Linked DNA regions of Callithrix jacchus. The protein of the gene in region 2 purifies or fractionates together with the protein of the main gene of each other region. This does not show direct contact. Links are inferred from orthologs where the notes say so. Each region holds a gene or a part of one and is shown on either strand. Other genes may lie near its edges. The genes, in order: LRRC59, CANX, LNPEP, MOGS, GGH, HSP90B1 and ATP2A2.

What was found.
Region 1: the proteins of CANX (region 2) and LRRC59 purify together in Homo sapiens (affinity purification with mass spectrometry; 3 studies listed by BioGRID and IntAct, with this or other methods). This does not show direct contact. The link is inferred for Callithrix jacchus from reciprocal best matches to the Homo sapiens genes CANX and LRRC59.
Region 3: the proteins of CANX (region 2) and LNPEP purify together in Homo sapiens (affinity purification with mass spectrometry; 3 studies listed by BioGRID and IntAct, with this or other methods). This does not show direct contact. The link is inferred for Callithrix jacchus from reciprocal best matches to the Homo sapiens genes CANX and LNPEP.
Region 4: the proteins of CANX (region 2) and MOGS purify together in Homo sapiens (affinity purification with mass spectrometry; 3 studies listed by BioGRID and IntAct, with this or other methods). This does not show direct contact. The link is inferred for Callithrix jacchus from reciprocal best matches to the Homo sapiens genes CANX and MOGS.
Region 5: the proteins of CANX (region 2) and GGH purify together in Homo sapiens (affinity purification with mass spectrometry; 3 studies listed by BioGRID and IntAct, with this or other methods). This does not show direct contact. The link is inferred for Callithrix jacchus from reciprocal best matches to the Homo sapiens genes CANX and GGH.
Region 6: the proteins of CANX (region 2) and HSP90B1 purify together in Homo sapiens (affinity purification with mass spectrometry; 4 studies listed by BioGRID and IntAct, with this or other methods). This does not show direct contact. The link is inferred for Callithrix jacchus from reciprocal best matches to the Homo sapiens genes CANX and HSP90B1.
Region 7: the proteins of CANX (region 2) and ATP2A2 purify together in Homo sapiens (co-immunoprecipitation; 3 studies listed by BioGRID and IntAct, with this or other methods). This does not show direct contact. The link is inferred for Callithrix jacchus from reciprocal best matches to the Homo sapiens genes CANX and ATP2A2.

Annotation. Positions count from the first base shown.
Region 1 is NC_133506.1:115,940,030-115,943,433, forward strand, and holds part of LRRC59 (leucine-rich repeat-containing protein 59), read left to right. Parts: intron 1-2,588; coding exon 2,589-2,762; intron 2,763-3,404.
Region 2 is NC_133503.1:71,938,439-71,941,938, forward strand, and holds part of CANX (calnexin), read right to left. Parts: intron 3,209-3,500; coding exon 3,067-3,208; intron 2,604-3,066; coding exon 2,522-2,603; intron 2,021-2,521; coding exon 1,828-2,020; intron 1-1,827. UniProt on the Homo sapiens protein: Calcium-binding protein that interacts with newly synthesized monoglucosylated glycoproteins in the endoplasmic reticulum. It may act in assisting protein assembly and/or in the retention within the ER of unassembled protein subunits.
Region 3 is NC_133503.1:113,669,841-113,673,909, forward strand, and holds the start of LNPEP (leucyl-cystinyl aminopeptidase), read right to left. Parts: upstream 2,801-4,069; 5' UTR 1,991-2,800; coding exon 1,972-1,990; intron 1,444-1,971; exon of another isoform or gene 1,278-1,443; intron 1-1,277. UniProt on the Homo sapiens protein: Release of an N-terminal amino acid, cleaves before cysteine, leucine as well as other amino acids. Degrades peptide hormones such as oxytocin, vasopressin and angiotensin III, and plays a role in maintaining homeostasis during pregnancy.
Region 4 is NC_133515.1:38,737,344-38,741,276, forward strand, and holds the start of MOGS (mannosyl-oligosaccharide glucosidase), read left to right. Parts: upstream 1-1,133; 5' UTR 1,134-1,267; coding exon 1,268-1,619; intron 1,620-1,784; coding exon 1,785-2,011; intron 2,012-2,485; coding exon 2,486-2,682; intron 2,683-2,907; coding exon 2,908-3,933. UniProt on the Homo sapiens protein: In the context of N-glycan degradation, cleaves the distal alpha 1,2-linked glucose residue from the Glc(3)Man(9)GlcNAc(2) oligosaccharide precursor in a highly specific manner.
Region 5 is NC_133517.1:19,003,022-19,006,375, forward strand, and holds the end of GGH (gamma-glutamyl hydrolase), read right to left. Parts: intron 2,256-3,354; coding exon 2,118-2,255; intron 879-2,117; coding exon 757-878; 3' UTR 501-756; downstream 1-500. UniProt on the Homo sapiens protein: Hydrolyzes the polyglutamate sidechains of pteroylpolyglutamates. Progressively removes gamma-glutamyl residues from pteroylpoly-gamma-glutamate to yield pteroyl-alpha-glutamate (folic acid) and free glutamate.
Region 6 is NC_133510.1:106,891,293-106,894,792, reverse strand, and holds part of HSP90B1 (endoplasmin), read right to left. Parts: intron 893-3,500; coding exon 814-892; intron 725-813; coding exon 569-724; intron 204-568; coding exon 81-203; intron 1-80.
Region 7 is NC_133510.1:113,257,679-113,260,073, reverse strand, and holds part of ATP2A2 (sarcoplasmic/endoplasmic reticulum calcium ATPase 2), read right to left. Parts: coding exon 2,278-2,395; intron 540-2,277; coding exon 454-539; intron 176-453; coding exon 42-175; intron 1-41.

The DNA.
Region 1 (3,404 bases), on a different chromosome or scaffold from region 2:
TATTTCATCTCTGCTTGGAGGGCTGATAGGCATTCATGTGAAATGTGGCTAAAGCAGATTCCTGATTGCGCTTCAGTCCCTCCCAGTGTTGCCTGTAGTAGGAGATCACTTTTCCTGTAGTTATTCAAGCCTGAAGTAGGAAAAGATGTTAAGACTCCTTTTTTTCTGTAATTCCCATATCCAGTCTGTCAGCAAGTCCCATATGGGACTGTTTGTCCACCTCCAGTGTCATCTCTAACCAGCCACCATTCTGGGACCGCCACAGCACCTTCCAACATGTCTCCATGACGGTGCGGTCTCCTTAAACTCATTGTCTTCACAACAGTCTGGGAGACTTTTTAAAAACATAAATAATTATGCTGCTACTTTCTTAAAACAAGTGGCATCCCACTGAACTTAGAATAAAATTATACTCATTGACAAGGCCAGTAAAACCCACCTTGGCCCCAGCTTGTTTGCCTGCTCTCCGCCAGCCTTGCACACACCAGTGAGTCTGCGCCGTCAGCTTCAGTTTGAATACACCAGCTGCGGTCTCACTTGGGCTTTGCTGCGTGTCCTTTTCCCTTAGTCCCTACCTGCTGGCCTCATGACCCCACATGTCTGCTCAAGCGTTGCCTTAGGTTAACCATAATGCTTTTAGACCACCGGACTAGAGTAACCTTCCTACCTGTCACTCTCATACCCTCTGCTAGTTTCTTTCTTTCTTTTTTTTAATTATTATTATTGTTTGAGATGGAGTCTCACTCTGTCGCCCAAGCTGGAGTGTGGTGGTGCAGTCTCAGGTCACTGCTATCTCTACCTCCTGTGTTTAAGCCATTGTCCTGCCTCAGCCTCCTGTAGCTGGATGCAGGTGCCCCTCTGCTAGTTTCTTTATGGCACAGATCACTGTCATCTTTACGTTCACTTGTTTGTGTGTCTCCTCTAGAGAGTAAATGAGAGAGACACTGGAACGTGACCTGTATTCTCCACTCTGCATCTCAAGCACTTAGAATAACTCCTGGCACATAGTAGGTTTTCTATTGACAGGCTGGCTGATTTCTGAGCCCCTCACTGGAGGACTACTGTGGTTCAAGAAGGGATGTGTACAGTACTGATTACAGGCAGTCCCTGAGGTCACGATGCCCAGATCCCTTATGTGGCATGGCCACTGTGGCAAGACATGGCTGTGCTTCCTCTGACCCCTGCTGCCTTCACCTCCCAGTGGCCCATGTTCCCTAGAGGCTGGGTGGTGTGGTTCTTGGCATTCCTGGTGCCCAGCTGGAACTCGGAGCTTGTTTCTACATGGAGAAGCAGTGGAAAGCTACAGTCTTACAGTACTGCTATTCAGCAACATTATGGCTCAGATAGGCTATTAAGCCCTAAAAGGACATTTAACCATCATTTGTGGCATTCTGGCTTTAGAAAAATGTGCTTCAGACTTCCAAATAACTAATTTGGAAATGCATTTTTAGAACCCAATGATTTGGAGGTTGTAATTTGGAAGTTTGTAAACATGCTTGAACTGCTGAGTAAATCTGAATGTGTACCTGTGTTCAGTTCTCAGATTCATGAGTTCAGGTCTAGAGGCTACTCTGACAAACTGTTAGGCTTATTTGTTTTTTAAGAACAGTCAAGTGCAGGCTGGTCCGAGTGCAGTGGTGTTTACAACTAATTGATCACAACCAGTTAGAGATTTTCTTCTTCCTTCTCCATTCCCACTCCTTCAGTTGACTAGCATTAAAAAAACACAGCAAAACAAACCAGTCTGTGCAGTAGTAAGAAAGTAGACTCACTTTTTTAGAACAACGTTGCCATTGTTACTTTTTTTTTTTCTTTTCTATTTTCTGAGGCAGTCTCACTCTGTCACCCAGGCTGGAGTGCAATGGCACAATTACCATTCATTGCACCTTCCACCTCCTGAGTTCAATCAGTCCTCCCACCTCAGCCTCCCAGGTAGCTGGGACTACAGGCATGTTCCAGCACACCTGGCTAATTTTCTCATTTTTTGTAGAGATTGTCTTGCCATGTTGCCCAGGCTAGTCTGGAACTACTGGCCTCAAGTGATACTCCCAACTTCACCTCCCAAAGTGCTAGGGTTATAGGCATGAGCTACTGCTCCCGGCCTCGTTGTTTCTAACCCTAAACTTGAGTGTTCATTTTCTCTTCTCACTGTCCCCCCATGCCACATTTATTTCTGAAGCTTGGGAAGATAGAAGTCCTATAGAAAACTGCCATGTTTTTTTCTCTTCATAGCTGAGTTCTAGAAGGCTATCAGTTGGTATCTGAGTTCTGAGTTAGTACCTAATTCTAGAGGAGCACCACTTAACCTCCATGCCTTGCTTAGGTCCTCCTTGTTATTTTACCCTAATTTCTCTGCTGCTTGAGGATAGGAACCTTGTAAACAGAATCATTCAGCAAACCCTGAGAACAGCTTCTTTTAGGGAGGGCTACTTCCAGGAACAGAAAGATGGCTGTTGCCTTTGACTATTTCTTATGTGATCCATGGCACCAGGGTAAAGGTGGCAGAATCTATACTTTTAATCACTTGGGAAAGCAAACTGCTGGAGTGTTTGTGGGAGAGAAGTCAAGTGTTGGTGTGTTTGTTATAGAGGCAGAGAAGAAGCGCGAGGCCAAGCAGCGAGCTAAGGAAGCCCAGGAGCGGGAACTGCGGAAGCGGGAGAAGGCAGAAGAGAAGGAGCGCCGGAGAAAGGAGTACGACGCCCTCAAAGCAGCTAAGCGGGAGCAGGAGAAGAAACCTAAGAAGGAAGCAAATCAGGCCCCAAGTAAGTTTGCTGTCTGTCGTAAGGTTCCAGCAGGGGTGCAGTGGAGACACTCATGTTTCTGGGCATAGATGACTGAGTGAGCAGCCCTGCACACCTTAGTCAGATAAATCACACTAAAGCCTGGAAGTAGATGGGAGGGTTTGGTTACAGGGAATGGAGGACTCTCCTCTAGGGAGCTAGTGTCCAGCTGGTTTGTTTCCCTAGTGCCCACATACTTCTGTTTTGGTCAGATGTGTCTTGGAGCATTCCTGGAATAGAGCCTTACTTTTTGTAGAGGTGAGATTCTAAAACCATTGAGATATGCAAAGATCACAAATGGTCAAGTTTAATCTTAAAAGTCCCTCACAGCCAGGTTCCGTGGCTCAGGCCTTTAATCCCAGTGTTTTGGGAGGCTAAGGTGGGAAGAGATCACTTGCGCCCAAGAGTTCAAGACCAGCCTGGGCAACATAGAGAGACCCTGTCTCTACCTAAGTTTTTTTAAAATTAGCCAAGTGTAGTGGCACACAGCTGTGGTTCTAGCTACTTGGGAGGCTGAAGCAGGAGGACCATTCAAGACCAGCCTGGGCAAGTGAGACCCCCCTCTGCTTGAACACTGAAGGAATCATTTGGCCTGAATTCAGGGAGCCACATTGTACAGAAAAC
Region 2 (3,500 bases):
TTGTCAAGTGTCCAGGTATTGGACAATTATACACAAACTTGGAAGTTCAATTACAAGATACTTCTGAAAAACTGTCTATTTTTATTGGATTTATGTATAACTGTATATATAATTTATTATTCAACATTTATCAACAAAAAAAGGGGGGAAGAAATTAGGTAGGTCAGCAAAGTTCTTTATAGGATATAAAAAAACCTACTACTATTTTCATTTTTGAGATGAAGTCTTGCTCTGTCAATCCAAGCTGGAATGCAGTGGCAGATCTCAGCGCTGTCTCCCAAATTCAAGAAATTCTCTGCCTCAGCCTACGGGCTGGGCTTTACAAATAGCTGGGATTACAGGTGCCCACCACCATGCCAAGCTAATTTTTTTGTATTTTTAGTAGAGATGGGGTTTCACCATCTTGGCCAGGCTGGTCTTAAACTCCTGACCTCGTGATCCACCCACCTCAACCTCCCAAAGTTCTGGGATTACAGGAGTGAGCCACTTAGCCCAGCCATCCTTTTTTTTTCTTTTTTTTTTAAGATAGAGTCTCACTCTGTTGCCCAGGCTGGAGTGCAATGGCGAGGTCTTGGCTCACTGCAAACTCCACCCTCCCGGGTTCAAGTTATTCTCCTGGTCAGCCTCCTGAGTAACTGGGATTACAGGCACCCACCACCACGTCTGGCTAATTTTTTTATTTTTTAGTAGAGATGAGGGTTCATCATCTTGGCCAGGCTAGTCTTGAACTCCTGACCTCAAGTGATCTGCTCACCTCAGCCTCCTAACATGCTGGGATTATAAGTGTGAGCCACGCCACCTGGCTAAAAATACCTATTCTTAAAAATATCTCAAACCTCAGTTCCTGTGGAAAAGAAGTTTTTTTTTTTTTTCCCAGACAGCATCTCACTCGGTCACCTAGGCTATGGTGCAGTGGCAAGATCATGGCTCAGTGCAGCCTCAACTTCCTGGGCTCAAGTAATCCTCCTACCTCAGCCTCCTGAGTAGCTGAAACTACAGGCACACGCCGCCATACTCAGTTAATTTCTTAATATTTTGTAGAGACTAGAGACTCAGCCTACATCCGACTCAGCATTCTAAAGTGCTAGGATTATAGGTGTGGGCCGCCACACCTGGCCAAGGAGCTTCTTTTAATGCTGACAAATTAAACTCATTTCCCAACTAAGATATTAAGTGAAGAGATTCTTTTTTTTGGTGGAGGTGGACAGAGTCTTGCTCTGCTGCCCAGGTCGGAGTGCAGTGAAACGACCTCAACTCTCTGCAACCTCTGCCTCCTGGGTTCATGTAATTCTGCTGCCTCAGCCTTCCAAGTAGCTGGGATTATAAGCATGCACCACCACACCCAGCTCATTTTTCTATTTTTAGTAGAGACGGGGTTTTACCATGTTAGCCAGGGTGGTCTCAATCTCCTGACTGCAAGTGATCCACCTGCCTTGGCCTCCCAAAGTGTTAGGATTACAGGTGTGAGCTACCACACCTGGCCGAGATTCTTATCTGCAGGCTGGTGTACTCTCTAAATATACAATCTTTTTTTTTTGGAAACGGAGTCTCACTGTCACCCAGGATGGAGTACAGTAGCACAACAATCTTGGCTCCCTCCCGGGTTCAAACAATTCTCCTGCCTCAGCCTCCCAAGTAGCTGGGGTTACACCATTTTGACCAAACTGGTCTCGAACTCCTGACCTCAGGTGATCCACCCACCTCGGCATCCCAAAGTGCTGGGATTACAGGTGTGAGACACCACACCCAGCCAGACATACAATGTTTAAGTTAAATGGATGATATAAGTGTAATGCCATAAGCCCCCAAACGAATGGTTTTTCTTACTTAGTGTGTAAAGATGTGTTTTCTTATCAGTAAAATAGGTCTTCAGATCTGCATCTGGCCTCTTAGCATGCTTTTCTTCATAAATACCCGTTTTGGGGTTCTTGTGTCGGAAGATGAAGTGCAGTTTATAGTCCTCTCCACATTTATCTGGACCAAACATAATCGTATAAGGGGTCTTGTCGTGGAACTGATCCTTCAGAAGCAAAAAAGGTTTATTTGAAACCACTCTAGTCAAAGTATTCAAAAGCAACATTTCAAAAGTGTCTAATAATTCTTATAAAATTCCAAATATATTGGTGACAGTTAAAGAAAAAGCTAATTATAAGGCTTAGTGAAAAGGAATAATCAGTAATCATCAGTAAATTTAAAATAACATATTTAAGTACTTAAAAAAAAAAATACACATATTTAGATAGTTATTGCTTCTCTCATAAAACAAAAAAATAAGTTTGCTAAAACCAAAACTTACACAGAAGCAAAATCAGAAATTCAGATAAAAACAGCTGGTAACAACTTAGAGAGTCACACTTCAAATAGAAAGCACATTAATGTCAAAGTCAATATTCCCAACTTATCAAAAGAGTTAAAAAGCAGGGGAGGAAGCCTTTATTTTTCACAAGTATTACAAAATTACATAATTCTTACAAGGTAATAGTGGGTGTCCAGCCACATTCCAGAAATGGGGATTACATACCAGGTTGAGGTCTGATGTTTTAGAAAGCAGTTTCACATAGGCACCGCCACATTCTATTCCATTTTGGAAATTAACCTCATACCTAATATCAGAGAGAAAAGCTGAAAATTGTATGGCATTTTGAAAGATCTAAACTCTCTTAACGTACTTGTTCCCTCATCTTCGTCATGTTTTATGATAGGTCAAATGTTTACCCTTACAAAGGATTCCATCTTCTATTGCTTTTAAATAGCTACCAAATTCCACAAAAATAAATAAACTGAACATTAATGCACATTTCCAGTAAATATGTTCTGCACAATCTGCAATTCATTTAGTCAGGAAAATGAGTAATCAGTTTCTTTCAAAATAATTTTTTGGGCAGGAAAAAATATTAATTACAAGATGTTTAAATTCACCCAAAAATCCCTAACACAACCTATATAATCTCATTTTTTATCTGATCACTATTTGCAAAATAATTTTTAACACAGAGTAAAAGTTGTATAATGTCTTCTAACATTACCCTTTCTAGAAAGCTTTTATCCAACAAGTATTTCACTTACTGAACAATGAGAGGCTTGGTGTCAAATAGGAAGGGTTTGTTCAGTTTAGCAGAGATGGCATGATGCTTGGCCCGAGACATCAATACAAGTCCTTTATCACCTGGAAGCTTTGATTCCTTCATTTCATCTACCTCCCACTTTCCTACAAGACAATACAAAAAAGTTCCACTCCTTAACTCTGCCTCTGAGAACCCTTTAAATAGCAAAAACAAACAAACAAACAAACAAAAAAACCCACCCGCCCTCCCGCAAAAAAAACCCCACTCTGAGTTGTATAAATCTATTATACTGGGCCAGGCGTGGTGGCTGATACCTGTAATCCCAGCACTTACGGAGGCTGAGGCAGGTGGATTACCCAAGGTCAGGAGTTTGAGACCAGCCTGTCAACACAGTGAAACCCCATCTCTACTAAAAACACAAAAATTAAGGGCCAG
Region 3 (4,069 bases), about 42 Mb from region 2:
AAACACTAGAAAATTCTACAATTCTTCAAGTTTTCAAATAAATACCCTGTCCATCTTAAACTTGAAATGCACTTCAAATTGCTAACATCGAATTTATTGTTGACTGTAGATGTTGTCACTTCTATTTTCCTTGTAAAAGGATGCTAAATAAGGTTCCAAAGAATGATTGCTACGTTAACCAAAATTATGCACTGCCAAGCTGTCTCCAGCATCAACTCTGAAAGACAGATAGGAAAGAATCAAAAATACAGTTTCCTACATGAAAGTCGAAGCATTGCTTCTTTCTTTGTTCTCTTCTGTGGGATTTTTCCATTGTCCTCCCAAATGTGACAATTTGCAAATACCCATATCTAGAAGCATATTCTATGAGAGAAAAGACCCCAGTTTTGAAACTCGAAAAAGTGCTTTAATAATTGTAAGCAAAGGTTCAGCAAATCAGCTAGCACTAATCTTGACCAAATGGGTGAGTCAGCCTTGTCACAGAGATATTTAACATTTAAAATCCTACAAACATGGTAACTCCAAGCATTCTACCAAGAACAAAGAATAAACCCTTGAATAATCACTTGTAAGGACTAACAACTTGTATTTAACATATTTTACACTGAAGTACTAGATGGTCTCTATAGTTCCTTTTAGCTCAAACCTTCCTTAATTTTTCGAGTAACTTCACCAGACTATTCTTTGAGTCTTAGTAATTACAAATAGGACCTGAATGAGAAAGAAAATTCAGAATTAAAGTTCTTATCAGTAAGCCTAATTAAACAGTACAGACAGAAAGATGGCAGTAGAATAAAGCATTCTACATTAGGAGAAGGGAGAATATAATCAGTAGTTCGCAGCCCCATCAATGAAGCGCAGCATACAACAAAGTCTGGCTGGGATTTGGGATATAATGGACAATATCTGTCTGCCCTTGGGTGGCAACTAACATACCTATACAGTGATAGACAGTGGAGCCTTTGAAAGCGATACTCCACCTGAAGTAACCAACCACCCTCAGGAAAACATGTCAAACCAGAGAGTGAATCCTCTAATTTTAGTGAGTTGTTTCCCTTACTGGCAGTTTTCCTACTTTCTATCTTAAAAGGAAATCCACACACTCAGCGCCGCAAAATGGTAAAACATCTCACCCCTATATTGTGACTCTGGCACCTGTGGTCAGAACAAAAGCTATCGTTTTAACTAGGGTAGGATTTATGCTCCCGGTTCAGTAAAGGGCAGTGGCTACCGGCAGGGTGCAGGCAGGCTCCCTGCGTTGACTCTCGCTTCCTGTCACACTGTGGTTATCACCGTGACGGACCCTTGACATTAACAAGTCTTCGACTGAATAACTGATGGGACCTGCAGCCGGTGAGGGGGAAGCATGGTGGCCCTGCGGAGTGCCTTGGCGGGGCCAGGAGGATGGCACTGCGGTCAGGCATCTCTGAGGCCCCGAGTCGGGTGAGCGAGCCTTTCTTGAAGTTTCCCTTCCTTCCACAACAAGCCTCCCACCCTCTCCCCCACCCCCGCCCTGGTAGGAAAAGTCACACCGGCAGCTCACTGAAGGGCAGTGGGACAGCTCCGGGCGCCCCACAAAAGTTGGGTTGGGCAGCGGCCACAGCTTAACGCTCCTGCAGGAGTCGGGCCGACACCGCTTCCTCCCGGGGCAAACCTGAACTGCCAACTTTCCCGATGCCCACTCCTCTGCGCGCAGCAGCCCAAACTTTGAGGTTCGCCCACCGGCCGCACCCCGGGCTTGCGGCGGCGGCGCTGACCTTCACGCGAGCCCGGGGCCCAGCAAAGGCCGCCGCCCGCCCCCCCAAGTCCCATTTCCCTGCCTCCCCAAGATCCCATCTCCCTGCCTCCCCCAGCCCTCGTGGTAAGCCGGCGGGGGGAAGATGGCTGCAGCCCGACTCCGCGTGTCACGACTGCCCACGGCCCTCGGGGCTCTAGAGAGCCCGTGTCCAGGTGCCTCGGCCGCCCACTCACCATTGGTGAAGGGCTCCATTTTACCCCCGCCGCGGCTCCTCACAGCCCGAGCGCCCGAGCTTCCTACTCCGAGAGCTGAGGCGGCCCTGCCGACTGAGCATGCCCAGCGCGGCCTCGGAGGGCTGCCGGGGAGGTGCCGCGAGGGGCGTCGCCGCTCCACTGCTCGATGGTTCCGCCGTTCCGGGTTTTCGCGGCGGCTGCAGAAAGAGCTAGGAAGCTAGAGGGAAAAGCACAGTCCGACCCCCGGAGGCTCCGCGGAAGGGCCAGGAAGGAGCGGGGTTCGCGTTGGGGGCGGGGCCTGGGGCGGGACCCGGAAAGTCCCGCCCCTACCTGAAGCGGCCCTGGCTGCGGCGCCCTCCCGGGAGGGGAACCAAGTTCAGTCACTCAACAAATGCGGGGCCCTACTGCGACCCGCCCGATCCTGGACTCCGAGCCACGTGCACTGCGCCGGAAAAACAGGGTCCCAGTCCCAGGAACGGTCATTCCAGAAACAGATCATAAATAAACACAGAAGACACACCAGTGTAAAGTCAATGCCCTGCTGCGCATTAAATCGAGTGATGTGATGCCCAGTGAGTGGGTAGCTAATTCGGATGGCGTGGTGAGGAGATGCCTCGCTGAGCAGGTGCCACTGAAGCCGAGGTCTGAAGGCAGAGCAGGAACCTGCGGGCGAAGGTCGCTATCCAAACTGCGAATCGCCGGTTTCCTTGGGGAGATTAGCCGCGGAGGGATCACTTCTCCAAGGACGGAGGGAGCGGGCGCTGTAGATATTTTCTGCAGAGATGTCCGCCCGCAACCGACTGTCCCTTGCGGGTGGTGGGGAGGAGACGGAAGAGAAGGCGGGGACCCTGCTGGGCCGAGGGCGCCCAGGAGTCCAGTCCCCCGACTCGCGGCTGCGGGCGCGGCCTCTAGGTGCGGGCGGATGACAAAACCCGGCGCCGGATCGTCCTGCCAGGGCCGCGGACGCAGCAGGATGTGGGCAGAAGGCCCGCCTGTTCCGAGCCTTAAATCAACACCTGCGGTTCCCGGGGTGACACCGCTGGGGCCCGCAGCGAGGCTCCGCGGTGCTAGGCCCGAGAAACCGAAACTTCCCTAGTCACCTCTGCTCCCTGGCACTCTCGCCATTGCCTCTAGCCCCAAGCCACCATTGTTAACAGTGCCAAATCGGACAGCCCCTGTAACCTCCGGGGCCGAACCGCCAAGGGCCCCGCGAACCCCGAGAAGGCTGGTCGGGGCCCGCTTCCTTTTCCCCCTTTCGGTGTGCGCATAGCCACCACCCTCGCCGCAGAGGCCACCGCCCTCCGAGCACGCCACCACCGCCTCCTCTGCCTCTTCCCATCCCTCAGCCCCGGCCCCTGCAGCGACTTGGCTCGAGCTGCACCTCACTGCGCCTGCCAACTGTCACACGCTCCGAGGCTGTCAACAGGGTGCCAGGGACAAACAAGCCGCGGCGAGCGCAAACAGCCTGAGCAAAGAGGGACGGTCAGGGTGTTGTTTGACCAGCACTAAGTCAAAGTGCAATACTGTATTTTAAACTGTCTATTGTATTACATCCCCCACAATACGCGCCTACTTGAAACTTCCAGCGGATACCAGCTACACTTAGAATAAAAATGAAACTCCTTGCCCAACTCTGGGTCCGCATCAGCACATGCTTACCATGTTTTGGCCACAGAGGCCTTCATGTTGTTCTTGGAAGTCGCCAAGTTCCATCCATCATTGTTAATCATACCTTTTGCACGCTCCTCGCACAACTGTTTCTTCTGCTTAGTGCTTTGCCTACTGATTCCATCTTGTCATTTATGTCTCGGCTCAAATGTCACCTCTGCAAAGAACCCTTCTCTGACTATACATGTAAAATAGCCACAAACACGGTCTGCACTATAAAGCCTTGGCTTTGCTTTATTTCCTTCTCAGCACTCACACTGTCTGAAACAATGTTTTGAATTTGTTGTTTATTATCAGCCTCCCTCTCAAGAATGCAAGCTCTGTGAGAGCAGAGTCTTTATCTTTTTTAAGGCTGTATCACCAACGCCTGGGTAAGTATACAGTAAATAATTTTTGCATGAATAAGTGAATGGACGTAGTGGTGTTGAGA
Region 4 (3,933 bases), on a different chromosome or scaffold from region 2:
AAATACAAAAAAAATAGCCAGGTGTGGTGCCCCACACCTGTGATCCTAGCTACTCGGGAGGCTGAGGCATGAAGATCGCTTGAATCCGGGAGGCACATTGCAGTGAGCTGAGATCTCACCACTGCACTAGAGCCTGGGAGACAGCAAGATTGTCTCAAAAAAAATAATAAAGTAATGTTCACTATCCTATTCTAGGTCAATCTGACTTACAGATTCTACATACAACCTTCTCTGACCTGGATATAAACCATCCTTTCTGCCTTCTGGGTTGTAGAGAGGAAAATGCCTTCTGTAAGTACTTGCACCACCACTATCATTGTTTTAGGGTTCATCTAGATAAGAAATCCCAGACTGAGTGGAAACACAATTTGTCTGAAGTCACAGCTGGAACAGAACCCAGGCTTCCTCTGGGGTCCACTCCTGCACTCTCAACTCCATTAGGAAAGAAGGCACCGGTGTGGGCAAACTCATCCAGCTTGATTCAGATATATGTGGGTTCCAAGCAAGCCACTTTCCAGCTGTATGGCCCGGACCAAGTTTACTTTTCCTGCCCCTGATTTTCACGGGGTGGTTAAATGTAAAACACCTGAGATAGTGTTTTACACTTAGGTTCCTAATATATAATCGTTATAAAAAAAAAAAAATGCCGGCCGGGCGAGGTGGCTCACACGTGTAATTCCAGCATTTGGGGAGGCCAAGGCGGGCGGATCACCTAAGGTCGGGAATTTGAGACCAGTCTGACAAACATGGAGAAGCTCCGTCTCTACTAAAAATACAAAATTAGCCGGGCGTGGTGGCGCATGCCTGTAATCCCAGCTACTCGCGAGGCCGAGGCCGGAGAATCGCTTGAACCCCGGAGGCAGAGGTTGCGGTGAGCCGGGATCTCGCCATTGAACTCTAGCCTTGGTAACAAGAGCGAAACTCCGTCTCAAAAATAAAATAAAACAAAATAAAAAACAAGCCAGTGGTAGATTGATTTTTCTGAGCCTGTGAACTCCATGGAGTCGCCAGATAAGCGCAGCCCCGGCGGATCCCCGCCCAGGACAGACGCTGCGCACGAACCCTACGCAAAATCGTAGGAAGCAGTTCCGGACTCCGGGACCAACATGACGTGGCGAGGCGGGACTGCCGGCGGGAGGCGGAAGTGCGGACTGGCAGGTGTAGCTGATCTGACTGCGGTCCGCGAAGCGAGAGGCGGGAGCCGGAGAGGCGAGGTAGAAACCGAGCTCCACTGCCGCCTTTCCGAGCTCTCGCGACGCGGACCGAGATGGCTCGGGGCGAGCGGCGGCGCCGCGCAGTGCCGGCAGAGGGAGTGCGGACTGCCGAGAGGGCGGCTCGGGGAGGCCCCGGGCGACGGGACGGCCGGGGCGGCGCGCCGCGTAGCACGGCTGGAGGAGTGGCTGTGGCCATAGTGGTCCTGTCTTTGGCCCTGGGCCTGTTCGGGCGCTGGGTGCTGGCGTGGCACCGTGCGCGGCGGGCGGTCACGCTACACTCCGCGCCTCCTGCGCTGCCCGCCAACTCCTCCAGCCCCGCCGTGGCCCCGGGCCTCTTCTGGGGAACCTACCGCCCTCACGTCTACTTCGGCATGAAGACTCGCAGCCCGAAGCCCCTCCTCACCGGTAACCGGGCTCCAAGGCGGGCGGGCAGGCGGATTCCTAATCTGGGCTCCCCAGCTTGAAGCCAGAGCAAGGGTGGGGAGGAATGGATCAGGAGAGTTACGAAGAGGGATGACCCGGAGGAACAGGTCCCCTGCTCTTTGACTTACGTGGCCATTCTACCCCCAGGACTGATGTGGGTGCAGCAGGGCACCACCCCGGGGACTCCTAAGCTCAGGCACACGTGTGAGCAGGGGGACGGTGTGGGTCCCTATGGCTGGGAGTTCCACGACGGCCTCTCCTTCGGGCGGCAGCACATCCAGGATGGGGCCTTATGGCTCACCACTGAGTTCGTCAAGAGGCCTGGGGGTCAGCACGGAGGGGACTGGAGCTGGAGAGTGACTGTAGAGCCTCAGGTCAGGGCCTCAGGACACCCTTTCCTCAGCCCAGACCCCCTCCATCCTTCCCTTGCTGCCAGCAAATGCAGCATGAAGTGGGCTCCAAGACTGGCTGCCTGGCTTAAATCCTGCCTTAGACAACTGCCTGTATGACCAACTCTACATCTCTAAGCCTTGATTTCCTTGCTTGTAAAATGTAGATAAAGCACCTAACTCAAAGAATTGTAAGAATTAAGTTAAATAAACTGTATAGACGTCTTAGTGTAGGACATAACACAAAAGTATACTGTAATCGCGCAGGGAAACCAGTGCAAGTCTGGTTTTATTTCATCCCATTTGGGTGTACGTGGTTACTCTCAGTGACCCTCAGCACTGCCAGAGGTATATTGTTTACAATTCCCCTGTCTGCTGTTCCTTTCCCTTACTAAGGCTGATTCTCAAGAGAGAATGCCAGTCTAACCCTGTTCTTTTCTGTCCTCCTTGATCACTCAGGCCTCGAATACCTCTGCCCTCCCTTTGGTCTCCCTATTCTTCTATGTGGTGACAGATGGCAAGGAAGTCCTACTACCAGAGGTTGAAGCCAAGGGGCAGTTGAAGTTCATCAGTGGGCACACCAGTGAACTTGGTGACTTCCGCTTTACACTTATGCCACCAACAAGTCCAGGGGATACAACCCCCAAGTATGGCAGGTAATTGGGGGAAGACAATGTTGGGAGATGGAAGGGGTGGTATTGATGCTGACTTTGATTTGTCTCCCCCACCCTACCTTCTTTCTACCAATTATTTGCATTTTCACCAGTCTCCATGTTCCTTGCCTGAGACCACCCAGCCTGACTCCTGAGCACTTTGTATTTCTCTTTATAATGACCACTGCCTTCTCCTGAATATTTTCTATTTATCTTCTTCCCTTCAAGCTACAATGTCTTCTGGACATCCAACCCAGGATTGCCCCTGCTGACAGAGATGGTAAAGAATAGCCTAAATAGCTGGTTTCAGCATAGGTCCCCAGGGGCCTCCCCTGAACGCTACCTTGGCTTGCCAGGATCTCTGAAGTGGGAGGACAGAGGCCCAAGTGGGCAAGGGCAGGGGCAATTCTTGATACAGCAGGTGACCCTGAAAGTTCCCTTTTCTATAGAGTTTGTGTTTGAATCAGGTAGTGCCCAAGCAGGAGGAAATCAAGCCCTGCCAAGACTGGCAGGCAGTCTACTGACCCAGACCCTGGAGAGCCATGCTGAAGCCTTTAGAGAGCGCTTTGAGAAAACCTTCCATCTGAAGGAGAAGGGCCTGAGCCCTGGCGAGCAAGCTTTGGGTCAGGTTGCCCTCAGCGGTCTCCTTGGTGGAATTGGCTACTTCTATGGACAAGGGCTGGTATTGCCAGACATGGGGGTGGAAGAGTCTGAGCAGAAGGTGGACCCAGCCCTCTTTCCACCTGTACCTCTTTTTACAGCGGTGCCCTCCCGGTCATTCTTCCCACGAGGCTTCCTTTGGGATGAGGGCTTTCACCAGCTGGTGGTTCAGCGGTGGGATCCCTACCTCACTCGGGAAGCCCTTGGTCACTGGCTGGGCCTGCTAAATGCTGATGGCTGGATTGGGAGGGAGCAGATACTGGGGGATGAGGCCCGAGCCCGGGTGCCTCCAGAATTCCTGGTGCAACGAACAGTCCACGCCAACCCCCCAACCCTACTTTTGCCTGTTGCCCACATGCTAGAGGGTGGTGATCCTGACGACTTGGCCTTCCTCCAAAAGGCCTTCCCCCGCCTGCATGCCTGGTTCTCCTGGCTTCATCAGAGCCAGGCAGGCCCAGTGCCACTGTCTTACCGCTGGCGGGGACGGGACCCTGCCTTACCAACCTTACTGAACCCTAAGACCCTACCCTCTGGGCTGGATGACTACCCCCGGGCTTCACACCCTTCAGTTGCTGAGCGGCACCTGGACCTGCG
Region 5 (3,354 bases), on a different chromosome or scaffold from region 2:
GAGACCATCCTGGTCAACATGGTGAAACCCCGTCTCTACTAAAAATACAAAAAAGTAGCTGGGCATGGTGGCACGTGCCTGTAGTCCCAGCTACTCAGGAGGCTGAGGGAGGAGAATTGCCTGAACCCAGGAGGCAGAGGTTGCGGTGAGCTGAGATTGTGCCATTGCACTCCAGCCTGGATAACAAGAGCGAAACTCCGTCTCAAAAAAAAAAAGTTGAAGACACAGACTCTGCTTTCAGGATGTGTATACTTTAAATGTGAAGTTAACACAGCAGAAAAGTAGATACACACACACATACCTATACACACATACCTGCACGCGCGCGCGCGAACACACACACACACACACACACACAAATACTCCTGAGATCCGAAAGAGGGAGACATCACAATGAACAAGTGGTAGGATTTTAAGATTCTTTTCTTTTTCAGCAGGAGGATGGGGTGGGTAGGTAGGGGATGGTATTTGTTTCCAAAGCAAATCAATTAGAGAAAATATTTGTATTTCACTAAATTTATTTTTTTCCAATTTTCAGATATAAGAAAGCTTTTCCATGAAAAACACTGATTATTTATGTCTCACTGTTTAGTTATGAAACATTATATAAACAGTCACATGCTGAATGAAGAATCAGAGCCAGTCACATTATAGAAAAGATTCAGTGACATCCCAATCTTGCCATGAGTAGCAAGTTATTCTAACAGTTTAATCATAGAATTATTCAAAGTTGCTCTGTTAACGAATTGAATACTTTCAATCAAATATATAACATTGCTGAAATGAAGAAATATTTCCAGTATAAATTGGACTGAACTGATAAATCAGTGACTTCTCCTCTTCAGATTCAGATCTAAAATGATGGTTGTTTTTCCGAGCTGCAAGAAAAAAAAGTTAATTTTTAAAAAGATCAGATAATAAAATCTTCACAAGACTACTTTTTAACATTTCTTCCTCTAATCAGTATTATTACGTGGGAAAATACCAACAAGAAAAATGCAACTGCTCTGCCTATAGAGCAGCCATCCTTTTGATTTCTTTACTTCTCTAATAAACTTGCTTTCCAAAAAAAGAGTGAGAGGGAGAGAAGGGAGAGATGGGAAGGGAGGGAAGAAGGAAGGGAAGGAAAGGCAGAAGGGAAGGGGGAAGGGAAGGAAAAGGAAGGGGAAGGAGAAGGGAAGGAGAATGGAAGGGAAGGGAAGTGGGAAGGGGAGGGAAGGGAAGGGAAGGGAAGAGGGAAGGGAAAGGGAAAGGGAAAGGGGGAGGGAAGGGAAGGAAAATGGGGAGGGAAGGGGAAGGGAAGTTTTGCTTAAAGTCATAAGACTTACTGGACCTATAATGCTCAACTAAGAAATAAGCACCTACAGCCAAATTCTCGATTTTGCCCACAAACAGAACACAGCATGATTATGTCTGTGTTTTCATCACCAAAAAGCAGGCAGAGTTTATTAGCTTTCTCCAGTATGCTAATGCCTATAGACAGGTAGCCTTAAAATCACGACCTGGTGGGCATATGTTCAATCTGTATCCTCGTCTTGGAAAAGTAACATCTAATTCTCAGAGACTGTTATAATTAAAGCATTATTCTAAAAAATGGAGAATAAGGGGAAAAATCTAAATAAAAACTATCCAAGAAGAAAAAGCTAGGCGTGGTAGTGTGCACCTGTAGTCTCACTATTCAGGATGCTGAGGCAGGAGGATCCCCTGAGCCCAGGAGTTTGAGGCTGCAATAAGATATGATCACACCACTGCCTTCCCGCCTCAGTGACAGTGCAAGACCCTGTCAAAAAACAAAATAAAACAAAAACACCAAAGAAAAAGAAAGAAAAAAAAACCCTCAATATTCTTCCTACTGTTGTTCAAGAATTCTGCCCACTCAAGTATGTATGATACTGTTAATGGAAGTAACTGTCCTGGTTTCATGAGAATACCTAATATCTCAATACCTAATATCTCAAGTTCAGGGCTTTCACATTATTTAACATTTTTATTATTCTTTAAAGATAAACCTACAGCACGTAGAAAACACCTATATAGCAAAAAGGTAGGCAAAAGTTCAGATGAGGGCAATTTCCTTCAAAACTACCACAGAATGACATTATGTACCCTCATATTACCTTCATTAACAAAGAACTCTGCTAAATAAAATGCAGTTTTCACAGCTTTAGGTGCATGGGAAATGCCATCCAATTTCTTCCACTCATAAGGTGCTTTCTCTGGATGCCACTGGACACCATAGACTGGATACTTATATCCTGTGGGAAGAACGCAAATCAGTAAGTACTAAGAATGGTTTAAGATGTTACTTCTAATGAAATTGGTTTATGTCTTATGTAAAACATTTTATAACTCACAATAGAAGATAACGTAAATTGTTCACACTCTCTCAGACACAAAATATCCACTCACACTCAATGTGAAAATTCCCAGTAACACATTTCACTGATTAGCAAACTTTTACAATCTGTAGTACAACTTGCTTTTCAAGATGTTCATAGCACAGTAAAAACTGAGCTGAGGAATCTATCCCCTTCCAAAAGTCAGGTGCACATTTTATTGGTGATACAAGTTTCTTCCACAATGCGCCTCTTTCTCCCCCGTCTCACAGCATGCTTTCCCCTCCTGCCATAATGACAGCCCTTCTGGTGTCCTTCCACACAAGCCAGTCTGTCCCAGCCTAAACTGTCTCTATCAGTCTATGGAATGACTGATGACTTTGTGGTATAAATTTTTTAAATACTTTTAAAAAGTTTAAAAGTAGACATGAAGCAAGAAGGGACACAAAACTGTTGACAATTGTTGAAGGTGATACAGACACCCAGGGGTCATATTACTCTACTTTTACATACACATGAACAATTCCACAATTCAAGAAAAAACGCGACTATATATAATAGTTACCTTTGGAAAAATGCACATATTTATCTCTTCTTCAGAGAAGCCTCTCCTCATTTTGATTTGAAAAAATTAAATAAAATCTCCCCTCTGTTACTTTTTGCTTGGGAATTGTAACCATGAATACCATCAGAAAGTACTTAGAGAAATAAAGAGAATTAATGGAATATGAGATATGTAGGGGTATAAGCACTGACCATTCTCATCTCAGCAAGCTTTCTGACTAAAGAGCAGGCCACAGAAGGGAAACATTTTATCCCAGCTTTGTGAGTGTTCAGGAGAAGAAACACCTGCCTCATGCAACTCCAGGCACTCAGCTCCCTGCCTCCCCACTTCCCTGTGACACTGCCCTTTCTTTCTCTCTGTTCTGGGACTACATGTGAAACTATGAGAAAGAGACCCACAGGCTGGAAGACTAGGAAATTAACAGTTACACACAGTTAACTGAAAGGCAGATCT
Region 6 (3,500 bases), on a different chromosome or scaffold from region 2:
CACAGTCTGACTTCTATAAGTTACACAGTCCTAACTTTGTAAGAACTGAAAATGCAAGTCACATTCTTGATTTGCTATACCTTTGCTGTTTCTTGTTCTTCTTCATCTGTTCCTGCATCCACTTCTTCGTCTTCATCTTGCTCTGTGTCTTCTGTTGTGTCCTCTGTTGTCTCTTCAGGTTCTTCTTCGGGTTCTTCTTCCACCTAAACACAACATTTATGGGCCCATTAATGCTGTGGATTTATTGCCACTTTGCTCATTTCGATGTCTAAAATCATAATTAATGTCACTTCGATTTATTCAGAACCAGAGAGTAAATCCTCTAACTAGAATGAATAGTCAAGCTAATGAAGGGAGGCAGGCAAAAAGGAAAGAGGACATAGAAGGACTTAGTTTCTAATGCAGTGCCCAAGACTAGAGGGATTCAAACATTCAATACAATTATTTCAAAAGGTAGAAATTAGGCAAATGTCTCAAAGCTACATCCCTCAATCATGAGAAGCCTATTCTGAAAGAGCAGAAACAAAGAAAGCCAGCCAGCCTCTGTGGAAAGGTTGGGGATACAAACCTTTGCATCAGGGTCAATGTTCAAACTGAGGCGAAGCATTCTTTCTATTCTATCTCCATATGCTTTAGTGTCTGGTAAAAGATATCCTGACCGAAGTGTTGCTGTTTCAAATAAAACCACAGCAAGATCCAAAACTGTTTTATCATCTTCATCTTCCTGAGATGCAAGAAGATACACCAGATTAATATTAAAAGATACAAAGTATTTAAATTAAAAGATAAGCAAGAGGACTCCTGTAACACTACCTTAATTCGTCGAAGCATGTCTCTGATCAGTGGGTGTCTGGGGTTAATTTCAAATGTTTTCTTCTGACTTGCATAGTAACTGTTAAGAGATAAAAATGAACATTAACAAAACATATCCAATTTTAGGGTTCATACATTCCCCTTATTCTTTCATAAATACAGAGAACAACTTTTGGTAAAAAAATAAAAATGTATTATTGACACAACACCACAGGTTTGAACTTTGAGGGTCCACTTATATGCTAATTTTCCCCCAATAAATACAGCCCACCCTCCTGTAGCAGACTCAACAACCAAACTCGGATAGAAAATACTGTATTCTTGGGATGTGAAATCCACACATACAGAACTCCAACTCTTCATATACTTGGGTTCCACAGGGTAGACTGGGGACTAGAATATGTGTGTGGATTTTGGCAGGGGTCCTAGAACCAATCCCCCTTGAACACCTAGGGACGGCTGTACTTTTCCAGTCCACTTCATCTGCAGAGTTAACCAACCTTGGATTAAAAATATTAGAAAGGACAAAACAAAAAATAAAAAGCCCAACACAGTGTAATAGCTATTTATATAGCACTTACATTGCATTAGGTGTTAATCTTCAGATTATTTAAAGTATATGAGACGATGTGCCTAGGTTATATGCAAATACAACACGACTTTATAAGAGACTTGACTATGCGTGGATTTTGGTATCCATGGATATCCTGGAACCAATACCCCAGGATACAAAAAGGGATGGCTGCATTGTTTTCTTAGTTTTTGTGGAGACAGGGTATCATTATGTTGCACAGGCTGGTCTTGAACTCTTGGCCTCAAGTGATCCTCTCACCTCAGCCTCCCCAAGTGTTGGGATTATACATGTGAGCCATATGCCCAGCCTGTATTGCTCCCTTTTAATGGGGAGGCAGGCAGGGGGCAAGTGGACATGGTTAGATGAAAAATGAAATGAAAGGAATTATTTATTGATGAGTCCAAGGTACCTAAGAGAACACCTGAACAGATGAACTGACTTAATGTCCTGTTTGTTCCCTCTTAGTTTATTCTTACTGCCATAATTGCAGCTCTGCCTCCCAGAGTTCAGAAATATCTATGTAGTCTCTGGGTGCTGCTCCAATAATACCTTCTCTATGATGCCTTCACCAATATGATTCCAAGAAAAATTAACTTTTTATCCGAACTCAGTTCCAAATGCATTTTGAATATACCTTCAAAATCCTCAGCATTTTACTGCTCATTGTGATTATTATCTCTTCTCTAGTTTAAAGCTCTGAGGACACAGAGGAACCACATCTATCCCTATCCTGTCATACCCATTATCTATGTAGAGCCTGGATTATGACTTGATTTGTCTTTTTTTTTTTTTAAAGAGACGGGGTCTGGCTATGTTACCCAAGCTAGAGCTAAAGTGCAGGGCCATTACAGCATACTACAGTATTGAACTCCTGGGATCAACTGATCCTCTTGCCTCAGCCTCCTGAGTAGTGGGGACAACAGGAGTGAGTCACCATGCCTGGCTTTGATCTGTCATTTTTACTAGTCTGAAGTTACAAAAGACAAGAGTTATATCTACTGACATAGTAAGCGTTTGTATTTGTTGAATGAAAAGTAACTTCCTGTTAATTAATCATTTCCTGAAATTCATAGGTGGACATGAAATTTATGGTCAAGACCTAAGACTTATATGAATTTTGGAATTATGACAACAATGGAAACTACGTTTGTGAGAAAAGGCTTTAAAAAGAATCCTTAAACTAGGCCTTAGGGAAAAAAGGATGATTACTAGATAGCATATCAGAAACACACCCAGGTCAAAGAGAGTAAAAGCAGGGAAGAAGTCATTTTCAAGGTCATTTCTGTGACATTAAAACATAAACATAAAGTACTATATTTCTTGAAAATAAAAGCTACCAAAGACTTATTAAACCTCCAGGTATAGGCCCTTGAGTTGAAATACTGTTAATTCACAGGTCGTGTACTATTCAAGAGACATTCTGTCTGGGTACCTATAATTTAATGCTTGGGGGTGTGGAGGGCATGATTTGAAATGAACTTAATTGAGAAAGGTCATTAACCTCCTGTGCAACTATTACATTTGAAAATGTAAAATAAATTCAGATATGAGGCTAAGCATATAATCCAATGCAAAAGTAAAGACAGTATCAGCTGGGCACGGTGGTGCATGAATCCCTGCATTTGGGAGGCCCAGGTGGGCAGATTACAAGGTCAAGAGATTGAAACCATCCTGGCCAACATAGTGAAATCCCGTCTCTACTAAAAATACAAAAACTAGCTGAGCATGGTGGCGCGTGCCTGTAGTCCCAGCTACTTGGGAGGCCAAGGCAGGAGAATTGCTTGAACCGGAAAGGTGAAGGTTGCAGTGAGCCGAGATTGCACCGTTACACTCCAGCCTAGTGACAGTGAGACTCTGTCTCAAAAAAGAAAAAAAGAAACAGTATGCATAACAGATTTAAGAAAAATCCCCATTTATATATCAAATACAATAAATATGATAAAGTCATGAGTCAAAGACCTTTTCTTTCTCAATCGAATGTAGGAGAAATCACGTTGTAAATTTGTTGTCTTCCTTCTAGTAGACAGGGGTAGACATTTAAGACAATTTTACTTTTTGTATTGAAGCTGGTATTATCTCCAAAAGGAAGAATGGGTAAGAGCCAACACCCTGG
Region 7 (2,395 bases), on a different chromosome or scaffold from region 2:
ATTGGCACGCTCGCCCCAGCCTGCTGTGAAGGTGCACTAACCTGTTGAGGGCGTTACACATTTCTATGGTTACTAGAACAGAGAGCGCCATTGTCATCGGGTATGGGGATTCAAAGATTGCACAATCCACGCCTTCAAAATCCGGGTTATCCTCTTTACACTGTAGGAAATGACTCTGCAACAAAAATCCAATCAAACGCCTATCAGCCCAGTATATTTCTCAAGTCCAGGCACCAACTCCATACCAAGACTAGCACAGACCAGCCCAAGAGAAGAGCCAGCCAAGGGGTTGACCCCAACTTCCCAGAGAAGCCCTGGTCCCTCAGAATCATCTTAGATGTAACTGCTTATCATTTAAGCCTTAAGATGATTTGATAGACACCCAAACCACAGAAAGGTCAAGGCCTCACAACACTTCTCATGTAAGGAACAAAAAGAAAGGTGGCTGAGTACCAGCTGGTAGAAGGACACTCTCGGACCGCCATCAGCAGCAATGAACCACCATGCGGCAGCACCCACGGTAGCAGCGCCGACGTAACCTGGGAACAAACATGATGCTGAGGCACTTGCCTCTGCCACTGCAGGGCCCACTGCCACCAAGGCCACAGAGGCCAATCCACATAAGGAAGAAGATCAAAGACATGGGATGGTAATAACATATCACCAGAATCTGTGGTGCTACCAGCAAACTGCTCATGCCTGGCAGCCAGAGCAACTAAAGCCTGGTTTCTGAAGGACAGGGATATTTCTGGTACAGAAGAACTGGGTAATTTTTCCTCTACAATGTGTGAGAAAAAGCAACTGCTGAATCTTGTGCCAACCTTTACCCTGGCTGTGCCTTCTCCCCTAAGGGAGCAGTACTTCAAGGCTGCAAGTGTGTATCCTCCAATGTAAGGCTAGATAACACCATGACTTCTGGGCAAACTAATGCTGCCTAGTTGTACACGAATTTATTTGCTCCATTAAAGGCCCAGCAGCAGCTTTCTAGGGAAATGCTGTCAGGAGCTAGGGTAGAACACTGAGCAGCATGGCCCTGGCCTCAGCAGCTCCTGGGATTCCCCCCAACATTAGCGTTCAGTTCAGGAAGTTTACTGCAAAGAAGCAGCTAGGTGCAGCAAAGAATACACAGAATTCAGATGAGGTGAATATCCCCATGTGGCAGCATCAAAAATGACAAGTGGGGCCGGGCATGGTGGCTCACGCCTGTAATCCCAGCACTTTGGGAGGCCAAGGTGGGTGAATCACGAGGTCAAGAGATCGAGACCATCCTGGTCAACATGGTGAAACCCCGTCTCTACTAAAAATACAAAAAATTAGCTGGGCATGGCAGTGCGTGCCTGTAATCCCAGCTACTCAGGAGGCTGAGGCAGGAGAATTGCCTGAACCCAGGAGGTGGAGGTTGCGGTGAGCCGAGATCGCGCCATTGCACTCCAGCCTGGGTAACAAGAGCGAAAGTCCGTCTAAAAAAAAAAAAAAAAAAAGACAAGTGCATATACCCACTAACCCAGTAATTACAATGGAGCACGAAGCCCCTGGCTGCAAGGATGAGGCACTATGCCTGTCCCAATGTGGAAGGATCTGACAAGCAGGAAGACGTTGAGACAAAGTCATGCAGCATGCACAGCATGCTGGAATCTCTCTGGAAGGGCACAGGGTACATGAGCTCCTCGATGCCAGAGGGAAGTGACTGGCCCAAAACCTTTCCACTTTATGCCATCGTGTGCTTTTTGAATTTTAAGTTGTGTGAATATATTATGAAAACACGCCTTCCTATGGGATTTGCAGGGAAGTGATTTCGACTCACTTTCCCAATCTTGAATTTGATTGGATTGGAACCAGCACATGGGGGAGGAAGATGATGGCTACAGAGATGATTCATATACAATAGGGCCTAGCCACTGCACAACCCTTCTCTTGCTTATGGAAACAGGGACTAAGCTTTATGTCTTGGTGACAATTATCTATTCAAATCCCGTCTATGAACTCTTAGAAGGCAGAACCCAGACTGAGTCATCCTTATCCCTTTGTACACGGGCCTGATGTTTAATTGCTCATTCACAAAAGCCCAGATAAGGGCAGGATGCTAAAACTGGAACTAACTGAAAGGACTTTAGTAAATTGGGTGTATAGTTCATCAAACTGTAAGAGGGCATCCTCCATCTTTTGCTACCCTATATGGGGACAGAAGAAAAAATAGGTTTTTAAGAGATGAGTTTACAAAATTTCAGCTCACAAACATTTCGTTTAAAAATCAGCAATATAAAAAACTGTACTCACAGCCAATAGCCAAGTAACGGAAAAAGAGCCACCCGCTGATCAATGGTTCCTTTGGGTTCCGGGGAGGTTTATTCATGATGTCCAGGTCAGGAGGGTTGAACCCCAGTGCAGTGGCAGG